7 linked regions of the Rattus norvegicus genome follow. The main gene of each other region encodes a partner of the protein of the gene in region 2 in a complex. Links are inferred from orthologs where the notes say so. Each region holds a gene or a part of one and is shown on either strand. Other genes may lie near its edges. The genes, in order: Thoc3, Ddx39b, Ttf2, Ppp1r8, Thoc1, Thoc7 and Akap17a.

Region 1 (3,346 bases), on a different chromosome or scaffold from region 2:
ATGCCAACCACAACGGTGGCCTGTAATGGAAGCCGAGCGAGCGAAGGCAGGAGGACAGCGAGTGCAGGCCAGCTTGGGCTACATTACCAAGTCCCAGGCTGTGGAACACACTGAGCGCTTGTGTCAGACAGACTGACCTCCCTCCATCTTCAGTTTGCTGTGTTAGTCAGATCATCCATGATGGCCTCACTCCTCACACACTCCTCCTCCACTTCCTCAGCCTTGACTTCCTATTCATTTATCTGTCTGATTTTGTATTTATTTCTGTTTTACTGTGTTTCTGTTTTCCCTTGGTTTGCTCTATATAAAACCAGGTAGGAGGAGGCCAGATGTACACCCGCTTATGTACACAGATGACTTTGCAATACCACAGCAGCCCAGCACTGCAGTTCATGGTCTTAGTTAGAGGGTTAGATGGGATCATAAACTCAGATTTAAAACCAAAACAGAATTTAAACCTGCAGTATCTTCCAGGAACAAAAACAGTAACTTTAGACACCTCATAACGAAAGCCGGCTTTAATGAATGCTCAGTTCTCAAAGCTGTTTTTAAAAATCCCATCCCTATGCTGCCCTCCCTCTAAGTAGGTACTGCCTAAGCAACAAACTGCCATATTAAAACCCAGAACACAGGGCACTCCCAAAGGGCATGCCACGCTGGGCATGTGGTGGGCAATCTTGGCTGTCAACTTGACTGCAGCGTCTGGAAACCACTGAAACCCAACCAGCAGGGCACACCTGAGAGAAATCTTGATCATCTGAGGTAGGAAGAGCCACCGGAAACCTGGGACACATGCTGGTGGCAGTGTATAAAAAGTCACACAAAAGGCTTCCGCTTTCTGCCTGTTTGCCCTCACTCTCACTGCCTGGTCCATCCACCCTGCTGCTCAGGGAGTCCCTCCCTGGTAACCACAGAGCCTGCTTCTTCAGGATTCCAACACTGACGGACGATTGCAGCTCTCTAGGATTCCCCAGGACTCCGCATCAGATGAGTCTCAGCGGCTACTGATCCTTGGCCTTTCCGTCAGGAGACGGCAGCGTCGTTGGAATGACAACCCAGACCACAGCCTGTCAGCCATTCTGATAAAATCCCATGTATGGACACACAGAGACAAGAGAGAGACAGACAGACATTCTACCAGTTCTCTTCCTTTAGAGAACCCTCAACAACAGATTATGACCCATACTTGCAGAGTCCTTATTAGCTAACTGCTTAACACAAAATACACCAAAAAAAAACAAAAAACAAAAAACAAAAAACCTCAGGCAGTGGGGCGGGGCTGGCTGAGTGGGCCACTTGCTCACCACGTGCAAGGCTGGTTCAATCCTCCGGTACCACAGCCTGACCAAAGGGTTTTTGTAATGTATGCCATTTACAAACATTTAGGGTGCCCAAAGCCCAAAAGACCACACGGAACTATACAAAAGGAAGGCTTGCGCCCAGCCCCCTCTCCCCGTCAGGTCCAGTCATTAGGAAGCCTGAATAGTCCGCCCGTCGTCCTCTTCCTTCCAGCTATGTCCTCTCAGGAGTCATTGGGAAGCCCGAAGAGCTTCACGGTCCCAGCCTCCCGGCTGCTGTCGTACTTGCCATCTTTGTCGTCGCAGGCAAAAGCCAGCAGAGGCCTCTTGGGGTGCCAAGCCACGGTGAAAGTCGGGGACTCACACTGCACCTCCCACAGCTTGTCTCCTACAGAAAGCAACAGAGAGAATGTTATTAGTACTTGGCATATAGAGATGTCACACATGAGCAGGTGACAGGAAAGTTAACTTGAGTCTAGGCCTCTAACCTATACTCCCAGGAAAAACAATTACCAGCTATGGTCTGCTGAGCACCCTACAGATGGCCTGTTCTTACTGCATGCCAGTGGCAGGACTGTGAGAGGCTGTGGTGCCTTAACAAAGTGACACCTAAGGAAAATGAAGGCAGTTTGTCTCCAAAGCCACACACCTCATACACCACAAAGCCTTGCAAATAACTTTTCCCCAGACGTTTCCTTCTAAGTTGTTGAAATTAGACATGGTTTCTTTCAGGTCTGCTCCACGTTTTCTCCCTTTGAGTTAAGGCTTACAATGTGGGAGCGGAGAGTTGGATCAGCAGCTAAGAGCCCTGGCTGTTCTTCTAAAGGACCCAGATGCAAATCCCAGCACATACATGGCAGCTCACAGCCATCTGTTTAGCTCCAACCCAATGGGACCCAGCACCTAGGGACCCAGCTCCCTCTTCTAGCCTCTATGAGCAAGAGGCACTGTACGGCACAGACACACATGCAGGCAAAAGAGCCGCAAACCGCTCTTTACAATTTTTACAGAAGACCTACAGTGTGGCACCACTATAAAGATGCTGGGTGTGAGAACGGTTGGTGTACATCTAAGAGGTCAACTATACGGTCTACAAATTATACCCTGCACTACTAGAACATACTCGTGTACACACATAAGTACACATTTCTGTTATATATGTGAAGTGTTTACAGTAATCCTGTCGGGGACAGCCATCTCCAGCTTGTCTGAATTACTGCTAGGCTACGGACACACCCGTGCTTTCTGGTGTCACTACCACAGGACTCTCACTTTTCTTTAGGTGTTTAATTTGTATCTTTTGCTATGGATTTGGTTAAGATAAAAATTTACACAACTGAAGAAAACCAAAGCAACCACAAAAACCCCTGAGATGTTTCCCAGGTAAGCACACAGCTTTACAAACTGAGTGCTGTGGCCAGCAGTCTGTGTCAGTGTAACAGGCTAGTCACTGGCATGGAGGGAGCCTCACCTAAGAAAATGCCTCCATAAGAGTGCACTGTGGGCAAGCCTGTAGGGCATTTTCATAATTGGTGATTGATGGGGAGGGCACAACCCACTGTGTGTGGTGCCATCCCTGGGCTGGTAGTCCTGGGTGTAAGAAAGCAGGCTGAGCAAGCCATAGAGAGCAAGCCAGTAAGCAGCACCCCTCCATGGCCTCTGCTTCAGCCCCTGACTCCAGGCTCCCGCCCTGTTTGAGTTCCTGTCCTGACTTCCTCTGACAATGAAGTGTAGTAAGTGTGAGCCTCTCTTCCCCAGGTCGCTTCGGTCGTGGTATTTCTCACAGCACTAGCAACACTAACTAGGATAAGAACCCTGATAACTGACTGCAAAGCTAATCCCTAAATGACATACAGTGCTGACTGTGTGAGGCCGATACCAGCGTTAAAATGTTAAACTGTTAAAATGGAGTTCTATTCTATACAGTATCAGAAATAAAATCAAAATTCACTCTTACCTTCTTTCAGACTTAACTACCAAAAATATTCAGGAATTATACCTAATGTTATTTACTCCAATAAAAAAAAATGCATAGACAGAAAGTTTGA
Region 2 (4,026 bases):
ACAGTCCTTCCCATAGTCCCCTAGCAGGAGGATGTGTTATGACTGGTGCCAAAGGGATATATTATGATTGGTGCAAACGTAAGTCTTCATTTGCATGAGTTCCCTGTTTGCCCAGATTGGTGCAAACGCCCTTTGCTGGCTGTAAAGCCTGGCTCACTTGGGACAAACCTTACTATGCCTCCGTCCTTGGTGCTGCCACATTAGGTCCAGTAACTGGAAGAAAGCGGCTGAGAGCTTTCCAACTAGGTCACTAGAAGAGTTCCTGGAAACTCTTCAAAGCCAAAGGTGCCTCTCTGTCTGGAGCTACAGCTCTTACTAAGTTACCAGGGACGGAGGAATCCCCACTTTCTGATTTATACAAAACCTGCCAGCCTGCTGCTTACAGCTGTCAAATGGCTGAGGAATCAAAAGCTACCAAGCCCCAGCCCAGGGAGCTTATCCGTTGAGCAGGACACAGCGGGCTGGTTGGCAACAATGATACTTACTTAGTGTTACTTAGTATTACTTTCAAGTATGCTCAATAGGGAAAGCACCTGCTTATGTTTCTGCAGAAAGGCAACAGGTCATCACTTCTGACGTGTGTAGCACCTCAAAGGGAATACCACCTACTTAGGGGGGACAAATTCCGGGCTGAATAATGGAACTGAGACCATTCTGCTGCTCTAGTTAGTAATAATTATGGAAAGGTGCATAACCCTCAAACTCCACCATTTATTTAGCACCTGGACAGAATGTAAGCCTCCATCTCCCAATATAATTTTGGGTAAATCCGGCCTATTCTCTGCACAACTGTAATGGGCGTGGTCACGTACCGGACCCCCCCCCCCCCAGTAGAGGCCAGACTTAGCCGCTCTCAGGTCACCTTGACTACGAGGCTAAGGACCCCGTGAGAACGCTTCTCACTCTGCTCGCGGAGTCCTGCATGCCCACAGAGAGGCGCCCAGGGAGAAGCCTGGCGTGGCAAACAAAACAGAACAAAAGTAAAGCCGACCGTCGGAGGGTGTGCAGAAGCGTAGAAGAACAAAATGGGGAAATCAGATGGGGAGAGATGTGAGCTTCCTGTCGCGCTCTTGCTGCCGGCGACGGAAGGGGGCGTCAGAAGCTTAACTTCAAGTGGGCATTCTGCAAAGCCAGCCGTGGAGCGCGCGCCGCCCGAGGCCTCCTTCCGGCACCCCGCGCATGCGCCCTGGCGGCCGGGAAGGCGGGAGGCCGGGGCGAGACTGGAACCGGAAGTGAAGGCAGCTTCCCGCCTCCGTCCCTGTTGCTGCCGCCATACACGCTCGCAGTGCTTAGGTAAGCTCGGCCTTGTGTACTATCCGCCGCCATCTGCCCGCCCCGCGGCTCATTCCGCCGCGCGGGCCCCTGATACCCGGTGCCCGGCCGGCGGTGTGGCCGCCGGCGCGTAGGCGAACGCTCAGTTCCATTGTTTTCATCCCTTTCTGAGAGCAAATCTTGGTGGGGGAGCTGGGAGACAGGCGGGGGACGATCCAAAATGGTGGCCTCGGCCGCCATTGTGTTCCTCGTTTCCTGGATGTTCCAGTGGGTCCTTTGCCCACCCGAGGCCGCGGCGGCCGGAGGCGGCGCCAGGAGGAGGGCGGGGCCCCTCGCATCTCCCCTCCGGGCCTTTTCTTAGTCCGCCAGGGATGGGAAGGATCTTGCCTCCGGGCCCATTCAACCCTCTGACCCCCTGCTTACGCTCCCTTATTTGGAGCTCTCTGTAAATGGCTATCTCCGTGCTTGACCAATGGTGTCGGCGCAGTAGTCGGGAAGGTTTCCAGGAAGCTTTCCGGGAAACTTCCGAGGGCACTGCGAGGCGTTCGCTTTTAAGACCACTCTAAAGGCTGCATCGTCCTCAGCTGCGACCTTAATTCCTTAATGTGACTATTAAAATTAATTGTGGCGGCGCTGGGCCGATCCTTGCGGCCTCTCGCGTTGCTAAGCGAGCACCTTCATTGAACCAGACACCCAGCCTTTTCAAAAAAGAATTTTCTTTTTTTAATGGAGCCATTCGTACCCTTGCAGCCACCGTTTAATTACCATAGGCTCTCCCCACCCCCTTCCTTCCTGCTTCTGCTTCCCGGCACTGGGAATCACGGGTGTGCGCCGCCGGGATGGGCCCTCGGGTGTTCCTGAGCAAGTGAATAGCGGCAGCCACATGATGTTTGCAATTGGGAAGTGAGCGCTCTGCGCGCGGTGCTGACCCTTATCTATCACCCTTGACTGATGGCTGACGTTGGGGCTCAACACCGCGAGGTGACAGGGGGAAGTGCAGCCCCTCGTCTTCTCTTGTCCTTTGTCTCTCCACCCTCGTGTGAGTCGTTAGTCACGCTCATCCTCGCTCCCGCCTTGTCGAAGTGTGATCCAAAATCTGGTTGGCGGTCGAGGCCACTCTCTGTCTCTCCCGTCTGGTGTTCCGTTTTTATGTCTCGTGTGTGTGTCTCTGTGTGTGTGTGTCTGTCTGTCTCCGTTAACTTTTCTTTCGGGACAAAGGCTTCAGTTTAGAGAAAATAGGAAGGGTGTAGGGATGGATGAGAAGTGAGGAGTCAGATCATGACTGATTAGTTTTTCCTTTTTCTTTTTTTTTTTTTTTTTTGTCGTCCCTTCTCCCAGCTCTTCTGTCGGAAACTGGTGTCTTTTCCCTTGCTGTTCTCCAACCCCTCTCTTTCCCCTTGCTTCCTCTCACCTGCTCTGGGACACCTAACTCAGAGACCTCCCTTCTCCCCCCGCCGGCCGGATTATGGCAGAGAACGATGTGGACAATGAGCTCTTGGACTATGAAGACGATGAGGTGGAGACGGCCGCTGGGGCAGATGGGACCGAAGCTCCCGCCAAGAAAGACGTCAAGGGCTCCTATGTCTCCATCCACAGCTCCGGCTTTCGAGATTTCCTACTTAAGCCAGAGTTGCTCCGGGCCATTGTTGACTGTGGCTTTGAGCATCCATCAGAGGGTACATTTTATTGTTGGGTATAGAGACATTATTTAGCATTTCAGGGATGCAAGACAGATGTGGTTCGTGTCTTGGTTCATAAGATCTGAACTTAGTTAGGCCAAGCTCTGAGAATGCACTCAAAACGTTAGCTGCCGAAGAGGCTTTTGTTTTTGCCTGGTTTTTTGTTTTTTGTTTTTCTTTGGTTTACACCTTTTTGGCTATTTGGACTCTCAGGGCCTGGTTGGACCTTTAGTTCCCCTCTTTTGGCCCAGGCTGACAGTGGTCCCTGGAAACCGTAACGATCTGTTTAAAGATGTTAGCTTCTATGGCTTCTGGGTTAGGTACCAAGTCCTTCATTTTGTTCAAGGTGGCAGGATAACATGATCCCAAAGCCCAGCAACCTATGTAGGAGAAATAATCTGTGGCAGTCACTCAGATTCATTGATGGTTACGCTATAAGAAAAATAAAGATAGCCAAGAACATTGAAGGTGAACCATTGGTAGGTTCAAGAGGGGTCTTAGTAGCACTGGGGAGCCGGGGCACAGGTAGGAGGGTTTGATTTGGGTGTCTTGAGGAGATCAGAGAAAGGATGGGGTCAGGTAAAATGTGACACATTGGCTGGGAAGGAGGGGACTTGGCATGGTGTAAAATAAAAATCTCTCTCCTTTCCCCTCTAGTCCAGCATGAATGCATCCCCCAGGCCATTCTGGGGATGGATGTCCTGTGCCAGGCCAAGTCAGGCATGGGAAAAACAGCAGTGTTTGTCCTGGCCACACTGCAGCAGCTGGAGCCAGTTACTGGGCAGGTATGTTGGGGGCAGTGTTGGAGAGGGTGTTGAGGTTGAACCACCAGGAGGCTGTTTCTGGCTGTGTGCTCTCAGAGCTGGTCTCCTCCGGCAGTTCAGGGGGAATGTTCTGTAGCAGAGTGGCATAATGGTTTAAAGAAACTGCTGTCGCCGACAAGTTGCCAGATGCGGGACTGACTTTACTGTGTCTGTCTCCATTTGCTCCCTCAAAGGTGTCAGTGCTGGTGATGTGTCACACCAGGGAGCTGGCTTTCCAGATCAGCAAGGAATATGAGCGCTTCTCAAAGTAC
Region 3 (4,206 bases), on a different chromosome or scaffold from region 2:
ATGCACTTGGAAATTCATGTCTTTCTTTAGCTCTCTAGGGTTTGCTGGTGACTCCATTCATCTTGACATTTAAATACTATTTTATATTTATTTAAGCATTCATTAGGTATAGGCTAGTTCAGCTTCCTCCATTCAGTAAGCCCCTTGTGGTTAAAACAGTTTCTTTAAATGTATGCATTAGGTGAACTTTATATTTCTCAAACACATATTCCTCTTGGGGCACCAAAAAAAGCTATTTAGTAAGAACTGCTTAATTCATAAATGATAACTCGGGTCTATCTCCCCTCCTCTGGCCTCCTAAAACATTTACAGTCTCCATATAGCCCAGGCTTCTTAGTTAGACATTGCAATTTTTCTGTCCTCCTAGCAGGTATGTGTGCCACTCTGAGACACACACAGTCTTCAGCTGCTGAAATATGAAGTTATGGCTACAGCAACCAAGCTCCGATAGTCATTCCTTCCCTCTGCTCACTAAAAGAACTGATTACAGGTTCTACAGTTCCATTTTATTTTAAATTATGTGTATGTGTCTTTGTGTGTACTAGTTAATGTGGTGAGTCCATGGAGGCGTGGAGCTGGATTACAGGTCGTTCTAAGAGGCCAAAAGTATTTGCTAGGAACCAAACTCAGTAACAGCCAGCAAGCGCTCTTAAAATGCTGAGCCTTATCTCTAGCCCCTTGGTTACACTTCAAATGCAGTATCTTTTAACATCACTCTCAGTTTTTTTTTTTTTTAACTACAAATACAAAATAAGTTCAAAAGGGTTGACAATGCAAAATACACGAAGTAAAATTAGCTTGTGCCTGAGGTCCGGTATTGCCCTCAGGTTCTTCTCTCAGACTCAGGGCGTCCACACCAGGCGGTCCTTAGAACCTCACTTGAAGGCAGGCCGTGAGACTCAAAGAGAGCGGAGCGTGGAACTGAGATGTGTGCAGATGTTCAATCTTTGGTGATTCTGTGGACGCCCTACACTCATTTAAAGGTTGTCCGGGGGTCCTGAGGGAGTCTTTGTGCCGACTTACAGACTATGCAAATGATTCCCACAGTTTTAGGGGATGCTCCTGCCTCTCGGCCGCCTCATATTTAAGTGTTTCCACCCACAGTGGCTGCTTCCCGAGCAAACCAGCCGCTCTGCCTCCCTCTGAGCCTCAGCGGTTCCTCTGGAGTCGCCCAGTTCAGCTTCGTCTAGCCCTCTCCAAGTCTTGCTTTCTCCCCGACCAGGGAACCTCCGGGTGTCCTCCCAAGACTTCGGCCACGCCTCCTCCTTCCAAGTTTGATTTCAGTGCGCGCCAAGCCTGCGGGAGGCTGTAATTGGTTGAAGGTGAGAGGATTTCCCATTTGATTGGTGAAGTGTTATGATGGGCGGAACGGGGCGGGGTCAAAGACGGAAACCCGGCGGGCCAGAGCTTCCTGGCTGCGTTATGGAGGTGATTAAGTGTCCGGAGCACGGTAAGGTTCCAGTCTCAGGATTTCCCTCCTGGGGACTGTGGAACTGGCTTGCAGGGGCCATTGCTGACCTTCTTGTTTCCTCAGGGGCCGTCTGCTTCTTAAAGACCGGCGTCCGCGATGGCCCGAACAAGGGAAAGAGCTTCTACGTATGCCGGACGAACACATGCGGCTTCGTGCAGGCCACCGAGTGAGTCTCCAACCCGGCCGGGTTCCACAGAGTGACCCAGCCTGGTCACTTCAGCTGCCTTGGGACGCGGATTTACCCACACTCGGATCCTTCTAGAGTCCGCTTAAAGTTTCTAGGCACCTGTCTGGCCTTACTTAGTCACTCCCCTTTACCCCTGCATCCTTTCTGCTCCTTCTAAAAAGTGTAAACAAACAGTGGACATGGGAATTAATTTGCTAGTTTTGCACCAATTTTAGATCGCCATTTTAATTTTAATATTTGAGGTTAAAAACAGTAATTAGACACCAGCCTTTCTCCTTCATCTAGTGGTGTGACGCTAATAAACTCCAGAGATTGAAGGTCTTAGGGCAGCGTTTCTCAACCTGTGGATCGGGACCTCCAGGGTCTAAGGACCCATTCACAGGGACCGCCTTTTAGATATCCTGCAAACCAGATACTCACATTACGATTCAAAACGGTAGCAAAATTACGGTTGTAAAGTAGCAATGGAAATAATTTTATGGTTGGGGTCACCACAACATAAGGAACTGTTTTAAAGGGTTGCAGTATTAGGAAGGTTGAGAACCACTGTTGTAGGGAGTTAGTGCTGAAAGAAACATCAGAGGTTGGTGCAGAACTCAGGTTCTGCAGATGTGAAGGCTGAGACCTAGAAATGTCAAGCATCTTGTCCAAAGTGAGGAAAGTGCTCTCAAGTGTGACCATTCTCTGAGTGAAATTAAACTGTGGTTCATTTAACACTTCTTCCTGCTCTCTATTCAGCTGAACTTTGTAGAGCACAGTTATTTTTTTTTTCAGTATATAGGTATATAATAGATATTAGTACTGGAATAAGTTGTATTTTGCATCAGAATTTACAGTTCCGTTCCTAAATATATTGAGTATTGTTGAATGTTGTAAGACCCATGCGCGCGCATGTTCGTAGGAATTAATTCATAGGAACGTTCCTACGCAACGTTCGCATCAATGTCGGTCTTAGGTTTGATTCAACATTAAAAGAAATATTCTTGAGGACTGGAGAGACAGGTCAGCCTTCAAGAGCACGGGCTGCTCTTCCAGAGGCCCTGGCTTTGATTTACAGCACCCACTTAGGGGCTGTGAAATGTTGTAACTTTAGTTCTAGGGGATCGCGCGCCCTCTTCTGGCCTCTGAAGGCCTAGCATGTACATGGGGTACAGACACACATGCAACAAACGATCCCTAAACATAAAATAGAAATAAATAAATAAATAAATAAATAAATAAATAAATAAATCTTTAAAAAGAGAGTGAACATTCTTAAAGAGTGTGCCACTTCCGTGGGTACACTGCAATACAGACTAGTACAGTACTTTCACTGGAGGCTTGCAGTGTGTCTGATGAGCGGACTGCAGGCTGCAGACAATTCTACAGGTCACAGGAGAGTGCTTTAGACCTTCACTCCAACCTGTCTGCTCTCAGTATTGTACATATTTTAGGAGGGACATTTAAAATTTTATGCCAGGCAAGAAGCACATGAGTAAGTTATTATTAGAGGTAGACATGGGAGTAACAGCAGATGACAGCTAGTAGGGTATTAATGGATGAGAGATCCTGAGAAGTCACAGCAGGCCTACCCTGTGACCAGCCTGAGACTATAAGTCATCCCTGGAAGTGTTGCAGTGTGGCTGTCATATGACCGTCATGAAGAAAAGAATAGTTATTGTCACGCTTCGGTTCAGAAAGTGGTAAAAGAAAAACTATGGATCCTTTCCTCAGGAAGCCACACCAATAGCCATAGATGGAATTTATACACCCAGGACACCTTGAGCTGTAGTTGGGCTGAGTGTGGTGGCACACCCTTGTGATCCTAGAGGAAGGATTGCTGCAGGTTTGAGGCCACACTGGTCTAGGTGGTGGGTCCCAGGCCAGCCAGTGAGAATTCAAGCTTGGATTTGACTTCAGACTGCTGGCCTCTATTCCTTGTCTTCTAAAATTATTTTATTATTATTTCTTTCTCTTCTAGTATTCCTGTTTCTCATTGTTTATTGCATGAGGAGTTTGTGGTAGAGCTTCAGGGTTTGTTTCTACCACAGGGCAAGAAAGAATGGAGGTGAGTGTCCAGAAGAAACATCTAGATGCAACACACACACACACACACACACACACACACACACACACACTCTCCCCACCAACCCCCAATCCTGAAAGAGTTGCAGCTAGATTTGTTTTTTTAAATATAAATTAAAAAATTTTATAAAATTTTATTAAAATTTTATAAAAATAAAGAATTTTGTTCTTTAAAAGTCATTACTGAAAACCTTTTTTGTACATACTGAATATCATCTACCTTGTTAGCGATTCTGGACCTGTGGGTCTCGACCCTTCCACAGGGGTCACATATCAGATATTTACACTGTGATTCATAACAGTAACAACATTACAGTTATGAAGTAGCAGTGAAAATAATTTTATGGTTGAGGTTATCACATGAGGAACTGCATTAGAGAGTCACGGTGTTAAGGTTGACAAACCAGTGCCCTAAATGCTGTATGAGTTACCGGGAGAAACCAATGGTTAATTTCTGGATGACCAGCTCTGTTCCCCTCTAGCT
Region 4 (4,288 bases), on a different chromosome or scaffold from region 2:
AAGGCAACTCCTAAAAGAAAACATTTAATTGGGGCTGGCTTACAGGTCCGGTATCATCAAGGCAGGAGTATGGCAGCATCCACGCAGGTATGGTGCAAGCACAGTTCTCCATCTTCACCTGAAGGCTGCTTTAGTGGAAGACTGACTTCCAGGCAGCTGGGATGAGGGTCTTAAGCCCACACCCACAGTGATACACTTATTCCAAAAAGTCCAAACCTCCAAATAGTGTGACTCCCTGGGCCAAGCACATTCAAACCAATGCCATTGCTTCCTGAAACCTGGAGTTTGTTTATTATTTATTTTGCTGTCTAGCAGGGTGTGGTGTTGCATACCTTTAATCCTAGCGCTCAGGAAGCAGAGGCAGACGGGATTTCAGACCTGTGCTGCCACACCCTCCTTAAAAAACAAAACAAAACTGTGAAGTCATCATCCCAGATTTTCTGTAAAAGTGCAAAAAGGACCATCAAGTGCATACTAAGTAATGGTATGTTGTCAGAAATGCATGAGACTAGTGGAGCCTGGCCTTTAGCTTTATACAGACTCAGGTTTGAATCCCACTCCTTGTAAGGTGAGGCTGGATAACTCTCACTCTGAGCCTCTCTTCTGGTATCAATTTGTCTTGAGTTGTGGGATTACCGAGTGAAATGATCCATATAGAATATATACTTCCCAGTAAGCACTCAATAGACAAAGCGATTACAACCCGCAAGCTAATGGCTTAGAGGAAGATGACAACCCTAATGCCTCTTTGTATAGTACAGTCACTGTTACCCACCTAGGAAGTCCTAAGGGGCCATTTATTAAACATTTGAGAATTGGTGAAGTCTGTAAAAAAATAAAATAAAATTGGACGCCCTTTTCTGTTTGAGTTTGTGCCTTGGTGCAGTTTGTCAAAGTTTTCAAAAACAGACTACCTGATTTCTGACAGACTTCTAATCTATGGAAGCCCCCAAACCTCAGAAAATTACTGATTCTGGGGAATTGAATCAGTGGCCTCGCTCGCGCATGCTCAACACACTAACATTAAGCTAAACAATCTAGACTTGGATTAGAAAGGACAAATGAGTAAGGATTCTGCTTTCGGGGGTGCTTTCCGAAGGAGGGCTAGAAAAATGAATGAGCGGTCACGTCTTATCTCTAGTGATCACTTGCTTATCGCTAGATGAAGTGTGAATGGTTGGAGTGCTGGGAGTTAATGCAGATTACAGAGCCCAAGAGTTTCTGGAGGAGAACGGAGCGAGAAGCCCATACCTCGGTACAAACCACTTCTGACCCCGTGATCAAGGAGAACCTCCCCTCCCAACCCTCCCCAGCAAACACTGCAGACTTCAAAATCAACCCCTAATCCCCTCCACCATAGGCGCTCCCAGGCGAGCGTCCTGGCGTTACGCGTGCGCACGCACGCGCTGCGCACAGGCTGCTGGGAGGCCGCCTCTTCCCTCCCGACCTCCCAGTTTCCCGGCGTGCTTCAGGCCCGCCAAATGGGAGGGGGAGACGCAAGATGGCGGCAGCCGTGAACTCCGGCTCCAGCCTCCCGCTGTTCGACTGCCCGACTTGGTGAGTAATACGATTTCTGGGGCTAGAGCATCTTGGTGTGAGTTAACCAGGGCAGAAAAGGAGGTTGTATTTTTTTCTTTTTCCTTTTTTTTTGCGATGAAACGAGCGGCTCAAAAAGATCCTGAAATGATTGAGGGAAAACTGTCCGCTGTGAGGGGCCGGGCGACGCTGTGTGGAGGAACCTGGAGCTGGGGCCCAGGCTCTGAGGAAACCCGAGGTTTGGGGGCTCGAAGGCATTCAGTTTAGACAGCGCTTGGGAGGTCAGCCGCTCACCGGGGTGCTTTCAGGCCTTGGCCCCTAACTTGCCCTAACTCATCATTGAGTGCTTGATGCTCTCAGGGAGCTTCCTAGCTTCCCCGGGTGTTGAACGTCCAGAGCCCGCATGAGCTAGCTTCCCTACCCCAGCCCAACCTGATGCTGCATCCGTCTGTGGCTGCTGCATCCTCCAAGAGGACTAGGAGCTCCTTGAGGGCATGGATGGCGCCGAACTATTCCCCCTGTTCTCTGACCAGACCAGTACGAAGCCCGGTACAAAAGACACCAGAAGTTGTTAGCTTATATCGTTTTCATTCCCTGGGACGTTCATAGTAGTAGGATGGTTTAGGCGTTGAGTAAGGTGCAAGATGAATACATAGGAATTGCTTTGCAGGAAGATGCATCCGAGTGAAAGCGCTTTCTGCTGTTGCGGCTTTTCCCGGTTGTTAACATGTTACTTCTCAGGCTTCTGTTACATTGAGATCTTCAAGGGCAAAAACCCTTGCATCATTCTCAGCTCCTAGGCCTGAGTCAATCACATAATAGGATATTTAGAAAATATATTTTGGTTTTAATGTTCATTTTTAACCTGTTTCTCAAAGGGGGGGGGGCTTTTGTCCAATGCACTGTCCTTTTAGCTATAAAAAAGATCCGAGCAGAACTGTGAGATGACTGCGTTGAATCTCCAATTAGATAGATACAGTTAGACAGGATACCGTTTCTTCTGTGCAAATGTAAGGGCCCCAGAAGGTTCAAAAGAACAAGCCCAGGAAGCAAGTGAATGTTTGGCTATTCACTGGATTTCTTTATACTTTTAACATAACCATGTGCTTCAGCCTACACATTCTTTATCCACACTGGTCCCTGGCTGCACTTATTTCAAATTTGGGCCAGCCAAATATAAAGAGACTCTTTGAGATCACCTGTCATTACTTCAGAATCTGGTGCATACTAGGAATTGTGTCAGGTAATTTGACACTCTCACAACCCCTTGGATGATGAAGTATAGAGAAAAGTTTGATGACTTAGAATTTTTCAGAAAGACCTGTTCAGGATACACCTCTTATTCATTTGGAACTTGATTTCGTGGGCGTGACTTTGATTCACTCAAGTTCCCTAATTACATTATCTCTGATTGGTACCAAGAGTTCATTTGGGTAATGGTTTTTGTTTATTTTCTGATGAGAATAATATTGATCAGTCCCCAAACAAATAGTTTTTGTTGTTTGATTGTTTTAACATTTATTTATTTTGAGGCAAGATCTCCATATGTAATTGTAGCTGGTCTAGAACTTGCTATACAAAGTAGGATGGCCTTGAAATGATCTCTCTGATGGGAATTCTCATGTGTACTTCTGTACCCAGCAAAATAACTGGGTTTTTTGTTTTTGTTTTTGTTTTTTAATATTAGGAGTAGTAAATCTTAGATTAAAACCCCAGGTTAAGGGGTTGGGGATTTAGCTCAGTGGTAGAGCGCTTGCCTAGGAAGCGCAAGGCCCTGGGTTCGGTCCCCAGCTCCGAAAAAAAGAACAAAAAAAAAATAAATTTATTTAAAAAACCCCAGGTTAGACCAAGCTTGGTGGCATACACCACAATGTAGTCTAGCACAGGGAAGGTGGAGGTTAGAGGTTTAGATGTTCAAGGTCATCCTCAGATCCAAACCCACTAAGGTTAGAGCCTAGCTTGTTTTCCGAGACATGAGACTCTGTCTCCAAAAACAAGCAAGAAGGAAAAACCTCCTCAGGGGACAGGACATTGAGTTGCATTGTCTCTGAAGAGCATAGCTAGTGTTAAAATGCAGGAGTTTTTTGGGGGGGGGTCTGCTCTAAATACAGACCCACAGAAAAATCTCTGGAACAACTGAATCACTTAGGAAGAAAATGTCAAACACATTTCACTCTAACACAGTGAAATATGACATTTTTGTTTAAATATGAACTAACTCTAGGCTGGTAGGGGAGCCTCGGTGTTGATTATTAAAAACAGTCTTGGACTCCTCCTTGAAACCGCTGTTTTCACTCTTCTCTTTCAGGGCAGGTAAACCGCCACCAGGCTTACATCTGGATGTAGTGAAAGGAGACAAGCTAATTGAGGTACTGCAGCCTGCTGTGACTGGCTTCCCCACCCTGTCTCCCTTTGCTCCCTTTGCTTTGTTTTCATCGCTGTTACTTTTCTGCTCTGTTTCTGTTTTTTAAGGCAGAGTTAGCCTTGGGTATCCTGGAGCTCCCTATATAGGGCAGCCTGGCCTTGAACTCAACAAAGATTGAATGCCTCTGCCTCCCAGTCCTGTAAGGAAAGACGTGGGCTGCCATGCCTCTTTTGGGTCCCCCTGCTAAAAGCTCCCAGGGACTGATGGTGTAGCTCTGTGACAGAGTGGCTGGCTGGCATTCGGAAACTGTTTTGGATTCATTCTCCAGCAGGCAACACTCTCCCACGGTTACTCCTCTGCCCTCACAAATGAAGATATTTTTGACAG
Region 5 (3,500 bases), on a different chromosome or scaffold from region 2:
CTCTGTGAGTTCAAGGCCCCAGGGTTGCAAAGAGAAACCCTGTCTCAAAAAACAACAGAACATAACAAAAAGCAAATGCAGCAAAGGATGAAGCTCAGTACTTGAGTACTTGCCTGTCACATTGTGGACATCCTGTTCCATAACATTGTGCACACAAGAGTGTGCAAGTATGCGTGCATGTGCGTTATATACCTTGTGTGGGTAAATAGGAAATCTGTAAGTTTCTAAAGAATAGTACAAGTCGACAGTAAATTGGTATTAAAGAGTTGGAGGTAGCTCAGTGAAGTTCTTACCTGGCAAACACAAACCCTAGATTCAACCCTCAACATCAGAAGACCAACTCATTTAGCCATAAAAACATATATCAAGCAAAGGGAACTATAACCATCAAGTGGGAGGTATTTTAATGCCTCAACTATAAAAGTTTCTCAGTATATTGATACTGCTTGAAAATTTACTATAGTTGGGGATTTGGCTCAGTGGCAGAGCGCTTGCCTAGGAAGCGCAAGGCCCTGGGTTCAGTCCCCAGCTCCGAAAAAAAGAACCAAAGAAAATTTACTATAGAATGGGGGTATATCTCAATGGCAAAGTATTTGCTGAGTTCAATTCCCCCCCCAGTACCACAGAAAATATGTGAAACTGATACCCCACCACCAAGCCAGTTAAAGAAGGTTGGAAATGACGATTGGCAACTTGCAATAAAATTCTTCTTCAGAGGGTAAGGGAATACACTTAGGGGATGAAATTGTGGGGAACTAAGTTTGAATCCTCAGAACCCATGTAGAACCAGGCACTATAGCATGCATCTGTACTCCCAGAGCTCCTACAAAAGAATATCTGAAAGCTTACAGATCAGCTAACCTATTGTACACTGCAGCAAACAACAGAGTCTCTGCCTTGAAGAAGGTAGAAAGCAAAGACCTACACCCAATGTGTTGTCTTCCAATGTCCACACATGTACCTGCACTCACACACATAGACAGCATATATCAGAAACCCACATACACATGCACACACAAATAAAGATAGCTAAAAACAAAAGATCCTTTTTTTTTTTTTTTTTTTTGGTTCTTTTTTTCGGAGCTGGGGACCGAACCCAGGGCCTTGCGCTTCCTAGGTAAGCGCTCTACCACTGAGCTAAATCCCCAGCCCCAAAAGATCCTTTTTAAAAAAAGGGTTTGTTTTTTATATGTATGTGCATCTGTGTGTAGATATGTGCACAAGTGCAGGTGCCTTAGGAGGCTAGAGAGGTGTCTACTTACAACTGAAGTTTCATGCAGTTTTGAGCTGCCATATGTGCCTAATGTAGCTGTCTAGCTGAGCTCCAGTCCTCTGCAAGACACTCAGGGCTGTTAACTGCTGAACCATCTCTCCAGCCCTTAAATAAACAAAAGATTCTTATTGGTGTCAAACATTAAATTATATGTAGATCTTCTAGTTCCTGAGACAAAGATGAACATATGAATGGTTGCATGATTCTCTCTGCTAGCAATAACTTTTCATTTTTCTTAGGAAGAATCCCCTGGTCCCCTGATATATAGTATCGTAGCCAAATTGGAAATTGAATTAGTAATGCAATAATGAAGTTACTGGAGAAAGATAGTACTTACTCATGGGGTGGCCTAGGAACTCATTTCTCCCTTGTTTTTCAGCATGTTTGTCCTTTTCCCTAAAGTGCAAGAACACAGATGTTAAAACATGGCCCACATATTGCACATATGACTTCTTCCAACTAATTTCACATAGCCACTCCTAGCAGCAAGAAAGATCAAAAGTCATTAATCTTTCATTCTAAAGAGCCATGTCAAAATTCAGGGGCTCTACCAGTATATTAGAGGGTCAATTGAGGTTTTCTAATCCCTTCAGACTGTTTCTAAAAGTTTATATCATTTTTTTTAATATATACTTTTTAGGGGATAGAAACTTTTTATGAGCTTCTGAAAAAGTTTTGTGGCCCAGGGAAAAAGACTTATATGACTGTCAAATAATTTAAGTGATTTAATACATTATTTATTTTATAGTTCTATTCCAATTGATTACAACCTGTACAGAAAATTCTGGTCACTTCAGGATTACTTCAGGAACCCAGTACAATGCTATGAGAAGATTTCTTGGAAAACTTTTCTCAAGGTGAGTCACAGACCTCTGAAGCTGATACTTCACAGATACTGGCAGAGGTAGACTTTATCTTGTTCAAATATTTTTCACTATAAAACTCCCTCTGATAGTTTGATACCTATTATAATATACAGAAACTAAATTGTGAATTGATTCTTTTTTTCTTTTTTCTTTCTTAAGGATTTATTTATATATAAGCACTCTTTAGCTGTTTTCAGATACAAAAGAGGGCATCTGATCTCATTATAGATTGTTGTGAGCCACCATGTGGTTGCTGAGATTTGAACTCAGGACCTCTGGAAGAGCATTCAGTGCTCTTAACCACTGAGCCATCTCTCCAGCCCGTGAATTGATTCTTTTTTTTTTTTTTTTTTTGGTTCTTTTTTTCGGAGCTGGGGAACCGAACCCAGGGCCTTGCGCTTCCTAGGTAAGCGCTCTACCACTGAGCTAAATCCCCAGCCCCTGGTGAATTGATTCTTAACCACTGATTTTTGTGGTATAGTTTTTAAGTGCCTTTAGGTTTAAACGTTAGTAATTAAAACCTCCAAGGGTTTATTTTTTTATAATAATTGCTGTCAATATAAAGTGATGATTTTATTTTTCAGGATGTCTTCTCTATTTGAAGTGTTTTTGAAGAACACACACCAAAATTTATTGAGAGACAGGGAGCAAAGCCCACAGAAGGGAGCGAGCTTGAAAGAAGTTGCCCTGCTCAATTGTTGTTTTACTCTAGTTGTCCTATTAAAACAGAGTTCATAAAACTATAGCCCCACACCAAGTCAGTCTACTTTATAAAGAGGTTTGTTGGACTACAGCCATGAAGGTTCATTTATCTGTGGTTTTCCTACAATGTTGTGGCAAGTTGAGTATTTGGAACTGAGAACATTCATGCCACAAAGCCCAAAATACTTGCTGTATTCACCTTTAGAAAACATTAGCCAACCCTGTCTTAGAAGAATCCCCATATATGTCTTGTAGACATGGAAGATTGTGATTCAAATAAAAAACATAGATAGTTTTTAAAGCAACATAAGTGTTCTGTGTTAATTTATATGCATCTTAGAGGAATGGCACCTTCCAAATTGAGGTTAAAATAGTGAGATAAGGGAGTTTCTTCTCAGTTGAATTACCATCTTATTGATTTGTTAGTCTTTGCACATAAAACTGCTTTGAGGTTTCCATAGCTGGTTAAACAATCGATTTTATTGCTAAGTTTTTTAAAGTTCTTTAACAGTTTTAACACATGAATTTTAGGCATTTTTACCCTGTTCCTTTCCATTACCACCACTCCCAAACCTTCCTTCCCTGCAAGTTCTCTTCTTTCTTTCATGTCTTCTCTCTGCATCTGACCCAGCTAAGTTTAATTAGATTTGCTTGCATGC
Region 6 (3,500 bases), on a different chromosome or scaffold from region 2:
TTTTTACACTCAGCAATTTTTTCATGTGCTCCAGCAATACTGCATTCTATTAAAAAACGGTAGTTATAATAAGACGTATAATGTCTGCTTTTAAGTAGACATTCCACTGACAACACAACAGACGATGACATTCTAAAAATATCTACAACACAAAGTGCTGTCTTACTACATGACACTGTGGCTGTAGATGGTAGATTCTTTACCACTGTAATTACTGACAGTATCTTACTACAATCTACATACTGCTATCAGCTTTTCCTTTAAACTGCAAAAATACAATTCTAGAAAGAAGCACTATGTTTACCTATTTCTTTGTATATTTTTTCATAGTTTTCCATTTCTCTGAGGTTCATATCATACACCAGCAGCGTTTTGCCCATTGAGAACTCACACTGAGACAGCGTGCTCAGCATCCGCTGGTACTGGCTGTATCTAACGAGAGAGAGAAAGAGAAGAAAAAGAAATCGTAAACTAAACAAAGTTCTGACCGAATTATTTAACTGAAATAGCTTAGAATATCCACCCTTACCATTTTCTTTGCTAGACATGGTGTACGTGAATTTATAAGTTATTCTGGTTACAAAGGCAGAATGAGACTACTGTCCTCATCTTATCAAAATTATGTGTCTGCATCTTAAATCATCCCTAACAATAGAGTTTCATCAGAATTTTGTTCTCACAACTTTCATACTTAAGCAGAAAGTAAATCCAGCAAAATTTCATAAATTAGCATGTGATTATTATTTTACAGCAACTTATATATTTACTTATTAGCAAAGAAAAAACATTTAGAGATACTTAGCAAATACTGATTTGCTAAAAGTAATCAAATTATTACAGCTGAGTTTGATCTTTACTTCTTCCTTTACTAATGTCCTTTCTGCGTATTATACAAACATAAAGGAGACCTCCAAAGAGAAGGACCGAAAAAAAACCAAAAAATAAAAAAGCAAACAAACTTCTGATCAGTTAAGAAGTGGCTACTGGGGGCTGGAGAGATGGCTCAGTGGTTAAGAGCACTGACTGCTCTTCCAGAGGTCCTGAGTTCAAATCCCAGCAACCACATGGTGGCTCACAACCATCTGTAATGGGATCTGATGCCCTCTTCTGGTGTGTCTGAAGACAGCTACAGTGTACTTACATATAATAAATGAATAAATCTAAAAAAAAAAAAAGGAAAAGAAGTGGCTACCCTGGACAGATAAGATGAATAGAACTATTTAACATGGCCTTAGTAAAATTCCAGCAAGATGTTGGTATAGAAACACAGTGGAATGAAGTACCCTTCCTCTTGGGATCCAGAGTTACACCATTTAATGAAGCTTTTCACTAGGAGATTAATTCTCCGATCATCTCCAGCACCGTCTCCATCTATCAGAAGACGCTTCCGGATGACTTCGTCTGGAACAAAAAGGATGAACGGGAATTAACACAAACATTTGGTTCTGGACAAATCTCAAGACAACAGTATATAACTACTCACTTGTTCAATGAAAATTGCTGAACTATAAATACATTTAATGCCACCAGCTGAGGTGTCACTTAGAAGCAAGAAGGCCAAAATGGTAAGCTTTATGTGCATCTTAGCACAATTAAAAATCTTCTGTTTGTTTTTCCTCTTTAAAGAAAAGCGGTTGGCTATGGTACATCTGCCCCGTCCTAGGGGCTGAGGTCTTTGGTGAAACTCTACCCTTATAATCGGCATTCTATGGGTCGTTGAGAGGAAATTTTCAAGTACAACAGAAAGGCTAAGTCAGTAATTGGTAAGAGAACTACTTTTGAAAAAAAAAAAAAAAGCTGTTCAAACTAAAGGAAGCCAGGACTGTAGTAAGTGAGAGGCACTGACAAAGTTTCCTTGCATGTAGTATCATGTCAGAAAAAGAGTAAACAGGTCAGAGAGATGAAAAGATCCATGAAGTAACAATTTAGTTGTAGGCGCTAAAGCAACACTATCTCACCCTTCCTGAGGGACAGTGCAGGCTGGAGTTCACTGTGCAGCCTCTGCCTCCACACAACAGGATGACAGGTATGAGCCATTACCCTGACTTCAGTGTCTCCATTTCTGCCCAATGCAAAGAGAAAATAGAAATGCAGTGGGAGATGATGGCGAGAACAAACAAATGGTGTCCAAGCAGCCTGTGTGGCAGTCCTGAGCTAGTGCTCTTACCAGGACCAAATCATGCTGGGCCATAGTCATAAAAACAAATGGAAACGGGGAAGAAATCATCCTTCTACCACATCATAACTCAGTAATATAACTGTTGCCATGATGTTCAGACACTCTACTGACACACAGTTACACATGTAGAGACGTGGATACAGTTAATCATGCTTGAAATGGATACACCTTTGCCTGGCCCCCAGAAAAAGTATTTTGAGTTTTGAGATACTGAGGAGCTTATTCTGAATCTCTGTAGCAGAGGCTGGAATTACAGGTGTGCGCCTCCATGCAAACAGACGTAGAGAGAGGCTTTTAGCAGTGCTGTCTACAGTAGATATTTATACTGCAAAGCTGAACATTGAGGCTTCTTAAATTGTGATGCACTCAAATAATGTTAGGATAACAACGAAACTACCTCTTCAGATAAAGTAACTTCTGAGAAGCAGAGGATGTTGTCCAGTGTGTAAAACAAAATGCATATATATAATATATATATATATTATATATATACACACACACACATATATATATACATATATATATATATTCAGAAAATAAATCTGGAGGCATTTATGGGTAATGAACAATATTAATGATTGTTTCTGATAAACAGATTACAGATAGAGATGAAAATGGTTTTCTTAGATACCATTTTATCATTTTTGTTTGTTTTCTGGGCTTTCATTTTCTTTTAACTGAATTCACTATGTTTTGAGTACAAATGTAAAGGAGGATAATTCCTGGAGAGCCTGCGTGAATCAAGAGCAACGTCTCTGACAACAGCTCCAGCAGGCGTAATGGCAGAAGCACAAGTGCAGCGGAGTCAGACCAGTATAGGGCGCCCTTAGACAGACACCTTTAGAATAGGTTTCTTTGAAAACCTGTTCAAACTACAGATTCATCTGTTCGTTTAACGTTTAAATGTGTTTAAAAAAATACTAATGTTTTCGAGCTTTAATTACCAAACAACTTGAAGAGACCAAGGTAAATAAGACAGTCCTTAAAGAGATTAAAAAGCAGAATTTTTGAACATGAGTACATACACACATCCACTTACACATTCTCTGTCACACACACATTTTGGGACAAGGTCTTGGTATGTAATTTTGTCTTCAGGGCATAGTGTGCCCCGAATCTTGCTGGCTTCAAATTCATTTGTCTGCTTTAGTCTGTCAAGGAAAGGCACACCTTGGGGCGGGAAATAGCTCAGTGGTTAAGAATGCATTCTGCTCTTCCTGAGGACCCAAGTTCGGCTCTCAGCACCCAAGTCTGAGAGTTTACAGCCCATGTGGGATGTCAAACATAAATGCAGTAGGAAACAGCAAGGGACTAAATACCA
Region 7 (3,998 bases), on a different chromosome or scaffold from region 2:
TCTCATTTTTGGGGGCTCCCGGTTCCGCCCACCGACTTCCGGTTCCCTCCCTGTCAGTGACCCGGCAAACGGAAAGCGCACCGCCAGGTCGAGGATCTCCCTCCGCCTTGGCGAAGCGCTCGCCAGGACCACGTGGTAACCGCGCAGGAGCGGGGCGAGCGGCTTCAGTGCCATGGGGGCCAGAGTCGCGCGGGGTTACCAGACCTGACCGATATCACTGGAGGACTCCGCAGCCCAGGCACCACCCTTCGTGTTACGTGAATGGTGGCGTTTTTGCGCAATTTCCGGAATTCGCCCAGGCCCCGCCCCTCCCTCTTGGCTTGCGAAATTTAGGAAAAGCGCAGGCAAGAGGGCGTATGCGGTATTAGATACTAGTAAAAATCAGTATGACAGGCGGAAGTCCCGCCCCTTTTCAAGTCCGTTTAAAGAAAATCTGAGCCGGAACTTGCCCTAGAACCACGCAGAGCCCTGGGAATCAATTCCGGAAGTCCCGCCCCCTGTCGCCTCCGTCAAAACCGGGAAAGGACGACCCGGATGCACTGTCACTGCCACGGGGGTCGCGCCAGGGCGGACGTCACACACATGGATACGCTAGGAATCACGGGATTGCCCGCCGCGCTACGCGGGCCGCGCTGGCTGACGACGAGTCGCATAGTTTATGACCTCACGCATAGCGGACAGAGTCTGCTCTTTGCTGAGCCTAGTTGCTTTGTTGTGACATCCGAGCGAAGGCGACGAAGGGGTCACCAGTGCTGACCCCGCAGGCCACTGTCACGGAGCCTAAGCGCAAAAGGGAACTGGGAGGGCGGAAGAGCGTCTACGCATGCGCGCCCTGCTGCTGTTGCTGTTTCTTGAGGCGGGGGTCAGAGGTGAGCGGTGCCGGAAGTTCCCTTTGTGCTCCTCCGCTTTCCCGCCACAGGAGGGCGGTTGAAAGCGGCTGACAGACGTTGTCTCCACGGAGGAAACGGGAGGGAGTCGATCGTATTTGACGTCACCGGTGAGCGCCTTGGTCACAGGATTATCGCCCTGTTGACCAAGGAGCCGCAACCTCCTGTGTCTGGGAGCGAGAGCAAAAACCTGCGCGTGCGCGCTGAGTGCCGCTGATTCTGCTGGTGATCCCTGTTTCCGGTATCCCGGATCAGAGGTGACCGGGACCGGAAGTGGCCATTTAAACTACGAAAATCAGTTGTCAGCGGCCGTGAACGAAACGCCTGCGGGGACTTTACCAAAAGGCCTTAGACGGTGGCGAGGACTAGAGTCTGGGCACCGGAAGCTAAGGTGCGTCACGGGAGCCCCGGGAATGGCTACGAAGGGTAACGGGGCAGAGTGACGAGGCCGCTGCGGAGCACAGGGGTGGAGCTTAGAGGAGGTGAGCGGAGAACACTCCGGGCTCGCGTGGACTGGGTCTGACCTGTTTCTGCTGCTTCCGCGGAGTTTTCCGGCTAGGAAATAGGATGGGGCCCTAGCAGGAGAAATGTAGGACTGGGGCGGAGCCTGGGGCAGAGGCTTGGCTTTATTTGAGAGGAGGGGCGGGGTTTGGTTCCTTGGCCATAATGGAGTCAGGTGAGCATAGCCTTAGCTGTGTTCTCATCCTAAGGTTCTCTGATGTCATGACCTTGTGTGCGTGTTTCAGATGTTGTGACGTCACCATGAGCATCACTACATACTGATATCACTGCACCATCCCCGCTCCCCCAGACTTGCTGGCCATGTCCTCAGCCACCATCGTGCACGACCCCTCGGAGGCGGTGCCCCTGTGCCCGGCGCTGGGCCTGTACCTGAAGCCAATCGCGCGGGTGACAATCTCGGTGTCGCTGCCCCCTCCGCCCCCAGCTCCGCCCCCTTCGCCTTCCTCGACGTCCCCACCCCCGCGTGCGCCAAGTCGTGCAGTGTCAAACTGGGAGGTGATGGAGGGACTGCGGGCGATGGCACAGGGGGCACGAGCGCCGCTGTCATCACTGCGCCTGGCCCGGGGCGGCCCTGAGGTCGTGCGCTTTGAGGGCGAGGTCGAGAACCGGGCGCTTGTGCGTCCCGCACTCGCTGGCCTGGACGGCAAGACTATGATGCTCAGCGGCCTCCCCCATGGCCTGCGTGTAAGCGCCGCTGAGGCCACGCCCCCACCCACGGATGACCCCGCCCACCCTCATGACACCATCCACCTTCAGGGCCTGCCCTGCCGCTGGTTTGCGCCCCGTGGGGGCAGTGGCGGGGATGAGGCTGGAGGCATTTCTTCCCCTGGTGGCATTGCCTCAGCAGAGAGGCCCAGCGAGGCTCTCCTGCGCCAGGCTTTCGGGGCGTTTGGTGAGATCCGCCATGTGGACATTCCCATGCTGGACCCTTACCTTGGTGAGGACGGCAGCCATGGCGGGGGCGGGGGCGGGCGGCTCCGCTTCGAGGCCTACGTTCAGTACCGAGAGCGTGATGCCTACGCCCGTGCCATGGCTGCCCTGCGTGGTGCTAAGCTCATGTTTAGGGGCACGGACGGCAAAGCTGTGGCCTGCGGCATCAAGGTGAGGGGTTTGGCGGGACCTGGAGTGGATTGACATCTTGTGGGCGGAGACTAAGCTATGACTGACAGAGTAGGGGCGGGGCACCAGATGTAAATGACACATGGAACTCCTTGGCGCTTGCATGTGGACAGGTGGGTGGTTCCTCGGGAAAAGTGCAGTGCCTGAGATGAGGGGTGGGGTCCATGACATCATGATGGTTTCAATGATGTCACAGGGGTCAAAGGGGGCGGGGTAGTGTGGAGATCAAAGGTCACCCACATGACATCACAGGGCGGCATTGTGATGTGACCACACGTCCTCTTCACTCCCCTGTGCTCCTTCACCTGCAGGTGACATCAGATGCCACACAGCACCTGAGCGAGGCTTCGATCAGACGCCGGCAGCTGGAGCGGCAGAAACTACAGGAACTTGAGCAGCGGCGTGAAGAGCAGAAGCGGAAGGAGCGTGAGGATGAGGCGCGGCGGCGGGCAGGCCAGCGGTGAGCCAGTCTGAGGCAGGGTGACTGGTGGGTGGATCAATGGGATGATGTCACTGGGAAATCATTTGGATTATATCACTCACATGACATTGTTGATAATGACACCGCCCTGATGAGCTTACTCTGATGACATCATGCTGTGTGACATCATCAGGTCTTGTATGAGGTCATGCTGAATGGTATTGCTGGCCGATATCACTCGGATGACATCACCAGGTGACATCATCCCAAATGACTTTGTGTTGCATGACATCATACCATATGACATCATTGGGGTGATGTCACTAGGATGCAATATCATATATCATGGTATGATCTCATGTTAAATGTGTTAATAAGAATGTCACCCATATGAATGACAGAGTGACATCACCACCCCTCACTTTCTCTTTGTTACACTCCTGGTCCCTCCCACCTGTCACTCATTCAGTAGTTGCAAACCCACACTCATTTATCCCACACTCATTTCCTGTCTGGGGCAAAGTCATTCGATGATGTCAATCCCTATGATGTCGCCCCCTATCACATCACCTTCAGCCTGGGATGAAATCATTTGATGACGTTGCTTGAATGACGTCATATCTAGTGACGCCAAACCCGATTGCATCACACGATGTCACGCCCAGTGACATCACCCACCCACCCCCAACCACCCAGGAAGCAGCGGGAGGCAGAGCAGCAACAACGGGCACGGCGTCGGGAGGAGAAGCTTCGGCGCAGAGAGGCACGGCAACGAGCACGGAAGAGACGAGGCCGACGTCGAGAGGAGGAGGAGGAGGAGGAGGAGGCAGAGCCCCAGCCTGTGTTGGGGCGTGAGGAAGAGGAAGGTGCAGAGCCCCGTCGGCTACTGCTCGCCCAGCGCAACCTGCAGTCTGTGCGGCTCATTGCTGCCCTGCTTGCCCGCGCTGAAGTAAGCAGGCCTTATGGGTGGGCAGAGTCAGAGGAGAGCAGAATTACAGTGTTGCCTCAGTCAGAGGTGGTATGGGCATGGGTGGGCAGGGCCTCAAGTG

The links.
Region 1: Ddx39b (region 2) and Thoc3 share a complex: the UniProt entries of both Homo sapiens proteins name them as parts of the transcription/export (TREX) complex. The link is inferred for Rattus norvegicus from reciprocal best matches to the Homo sapiens genes DDX39B and THOC3.
Region 3: Ddx39b (region 2) and Ttf2 share a complex: the UniProt entries of both Homo sapiens proteins name them as parts of the spliceosome. The link is inferred for Rattus norvegicus from reciprocal best matches to the Homo sapiens genes DDX39B and TTF2.
Region 4: Ddx39b (region 2) and Ppp1r8 share a complex: the UniProt entries of both Homo sapiens proteins name them as parts of the spliceosome. The link is inferred for Rattus norvegicus from reciprocal best matches to the Homo sapiens genes DDX39B and PPP1R8.
Region 5: Ddx39b (region 2) and Thoc1 share a complex: the UniProt entries of both Homo sapiens proteins name them as parts of the transcription/export (TREX) complex. The link is inferred for Rattus norvegicus from reciprocal best matches to the Homo sapiens genes DDX39B and THOC1.
Region 6: Ddx39b (region 2) and Thoc7 share a complex: the UniProt entries of both Homo sapiens proteins name them as parts of the transcription/export (TREX) complex. The link is inferred for Rattus norvegicus from reciprocal best matches to the Homo sapiens genes DDX39B and THOC7.
Region 7: Ddx39b (region 2) and Akap17a share a complex: the UniProt entries of both Homo sapiens proteins name them as parts of the spliceosome. The link is inferred for Rattus norvegicus from reciprocal best matches to the Homo sapiens genes DDX39B and AKAP17A.

The regions. Positions count from the first base shown.
Region 1 is NC_086035.1:10,154,627-10,157,972, reverse strand, and holds the end of Thoc3 (THO complex subunit 3), read right to left. Parts: intron 1,687-3,346; coding exon 1,523-1,686; 3' UTR 501-1,522; downstream 1-500. UniProt on the Homo sapiens protein: Component of the THO subcomplex of the TREX complex which is thought to couple mRNA transcription, processing and nuclear export, and which specifically associates with spliced mRNA and not with unspliced pre-mRNA.
Region 2 is NC_086038.1:3,586,852-3,590,877, reverse strand, and holds the start of Ddx39b (spliceosome RNA helicase Ddx39b), read left to right. Parts: upstream 1-1,226; 5' UTR 1,227-1,293; exon of another isoform or gene 1,294-2,253; intron 2,254-2,610; 5' UTR 2,611-2,737; coding exon 2,738-2,948; intron 2,949-3,608; coding exon 3,609-3,736; intron 3,737-3,948; coding exon 3,949-4,026. UniProt on the Homo sapiens protein: Involved in nuclear export of spliced and unspliced mRNA. Component of the TREX complex which is thought to couple mRNA transcription, processing and nuclear export, and specifically associates with spliced mRNA and not with unspliced pre-mRNA.
Region 3 is NC_086020.1:191,083,507-191,087,712, reverse strand, and holds the start of Ttf2 (transcription termination factor 2), read left to right. Parts: upstream 1-1,406; 5' UTR 1,407-1,422; coding exon 1,423-1,450; intron 1,451-1,534; coding exon 1,535-1,637; intron 1,638-3,618; coding exon 3,619-3,705; intron 3,706-4,206. UniProt on the Homo sapiens protein: DsDNA-dependent ATPase which acts as a transcription termination factor by coupling ATP hydrolysis with removal of RNA polymerase II from the DNA template. May contribute to mitotic transcription repression. May also be involved in pre-mRNA splicing.
Region 4 is NC_086023.1:150,329,927-150,334,214, reverse strand, and holds the start of Ppp1r8 (nuclear inhibitor of protein phosphatase 1), read left to right. Parts: upstream 1-1,488; 5' UTR 1,489-1,501; coding exon 1,502-1,557; intron 1,558-3,844; coding exon 3,845-3,905; intron 3,906-4,288. UniProt on the Homo sapiens protein: Inhibitor subunit of the major nuclear protein phosphatase-1 (PP-1). It has RNA-binding activity but does not cleave RNA and may target PP-1 to RNA-associated substrates. May also be involved in pre-mRNA splicing.
Region 5 is NC_086036.1:1,273,660-1,277,159, forward strand, and holds part of Thoc1 (THO complex subunit 1), read left to right. Parts: intron 1-2,021; coding exon 2,022-2,130; intron 2,131-3,500. UniProt on the Homo sapiens protein: Component of the THO subcomplex of the TREX complex which is thought to couple mRNA transcription, processing and nuclear export, and which specifically associates with spliced mRNA and not with unspliced pre-mRNA.
Region 6 is NC_086033.1:13,699,960-13,703,459, reverse strand, and holds part of Thoc7 (THO complex subunit 7 homolog), read right to left. Parts: exon of another isoform or gene 3,223-3,500; coding exon of another isoform or gene 3,219-3,222; intron 2,063-3,218; coding exon of another isoform or gene 1,959-2,062; intron 1,402-1,958; coding exon 1,284-1,401; intron 433-1,283; coding exon 305-432; intron 47-304; coding exon 1-46. UniProt on the Homo sapiens protein: Component of the THO subcomplex of the TREX complex which is thought to couple mRNA transcription, processing and nuclear export, and which specifically associates with spliced mRNA and not with unspliced pre-mRNA.
Region 7 is NC_086030.1:21,425,448-21,429,445, reverse strand, and holds the start of Akap17a (A-kinase anchor protein 17A), read left to right. Parts: upstream 1-1,198; 5' UTR 1,199-1,278; exon of another isoform or gene 1,279-1,369; intron 1,370-1,633; 5' UTR 1,634-1,709; coding exon 1,710-2,510; intron 2,511-2,839; coding exon 2,840-2,988; intron 2,989-3,645; coding exon 3,646-3,898; intron 3,899-3,998. Other genes in the region: Asmtl (N-acetylserotonin O-methyltransferase-like protein), read right to left, coding at 82-174. UniProt on the Homo sapiens protein: Splice factor regulating alternative splice site selection for certain mRNA precursors. Mediates regulation of pre-mRNA splicing in a PKA-dependent manner.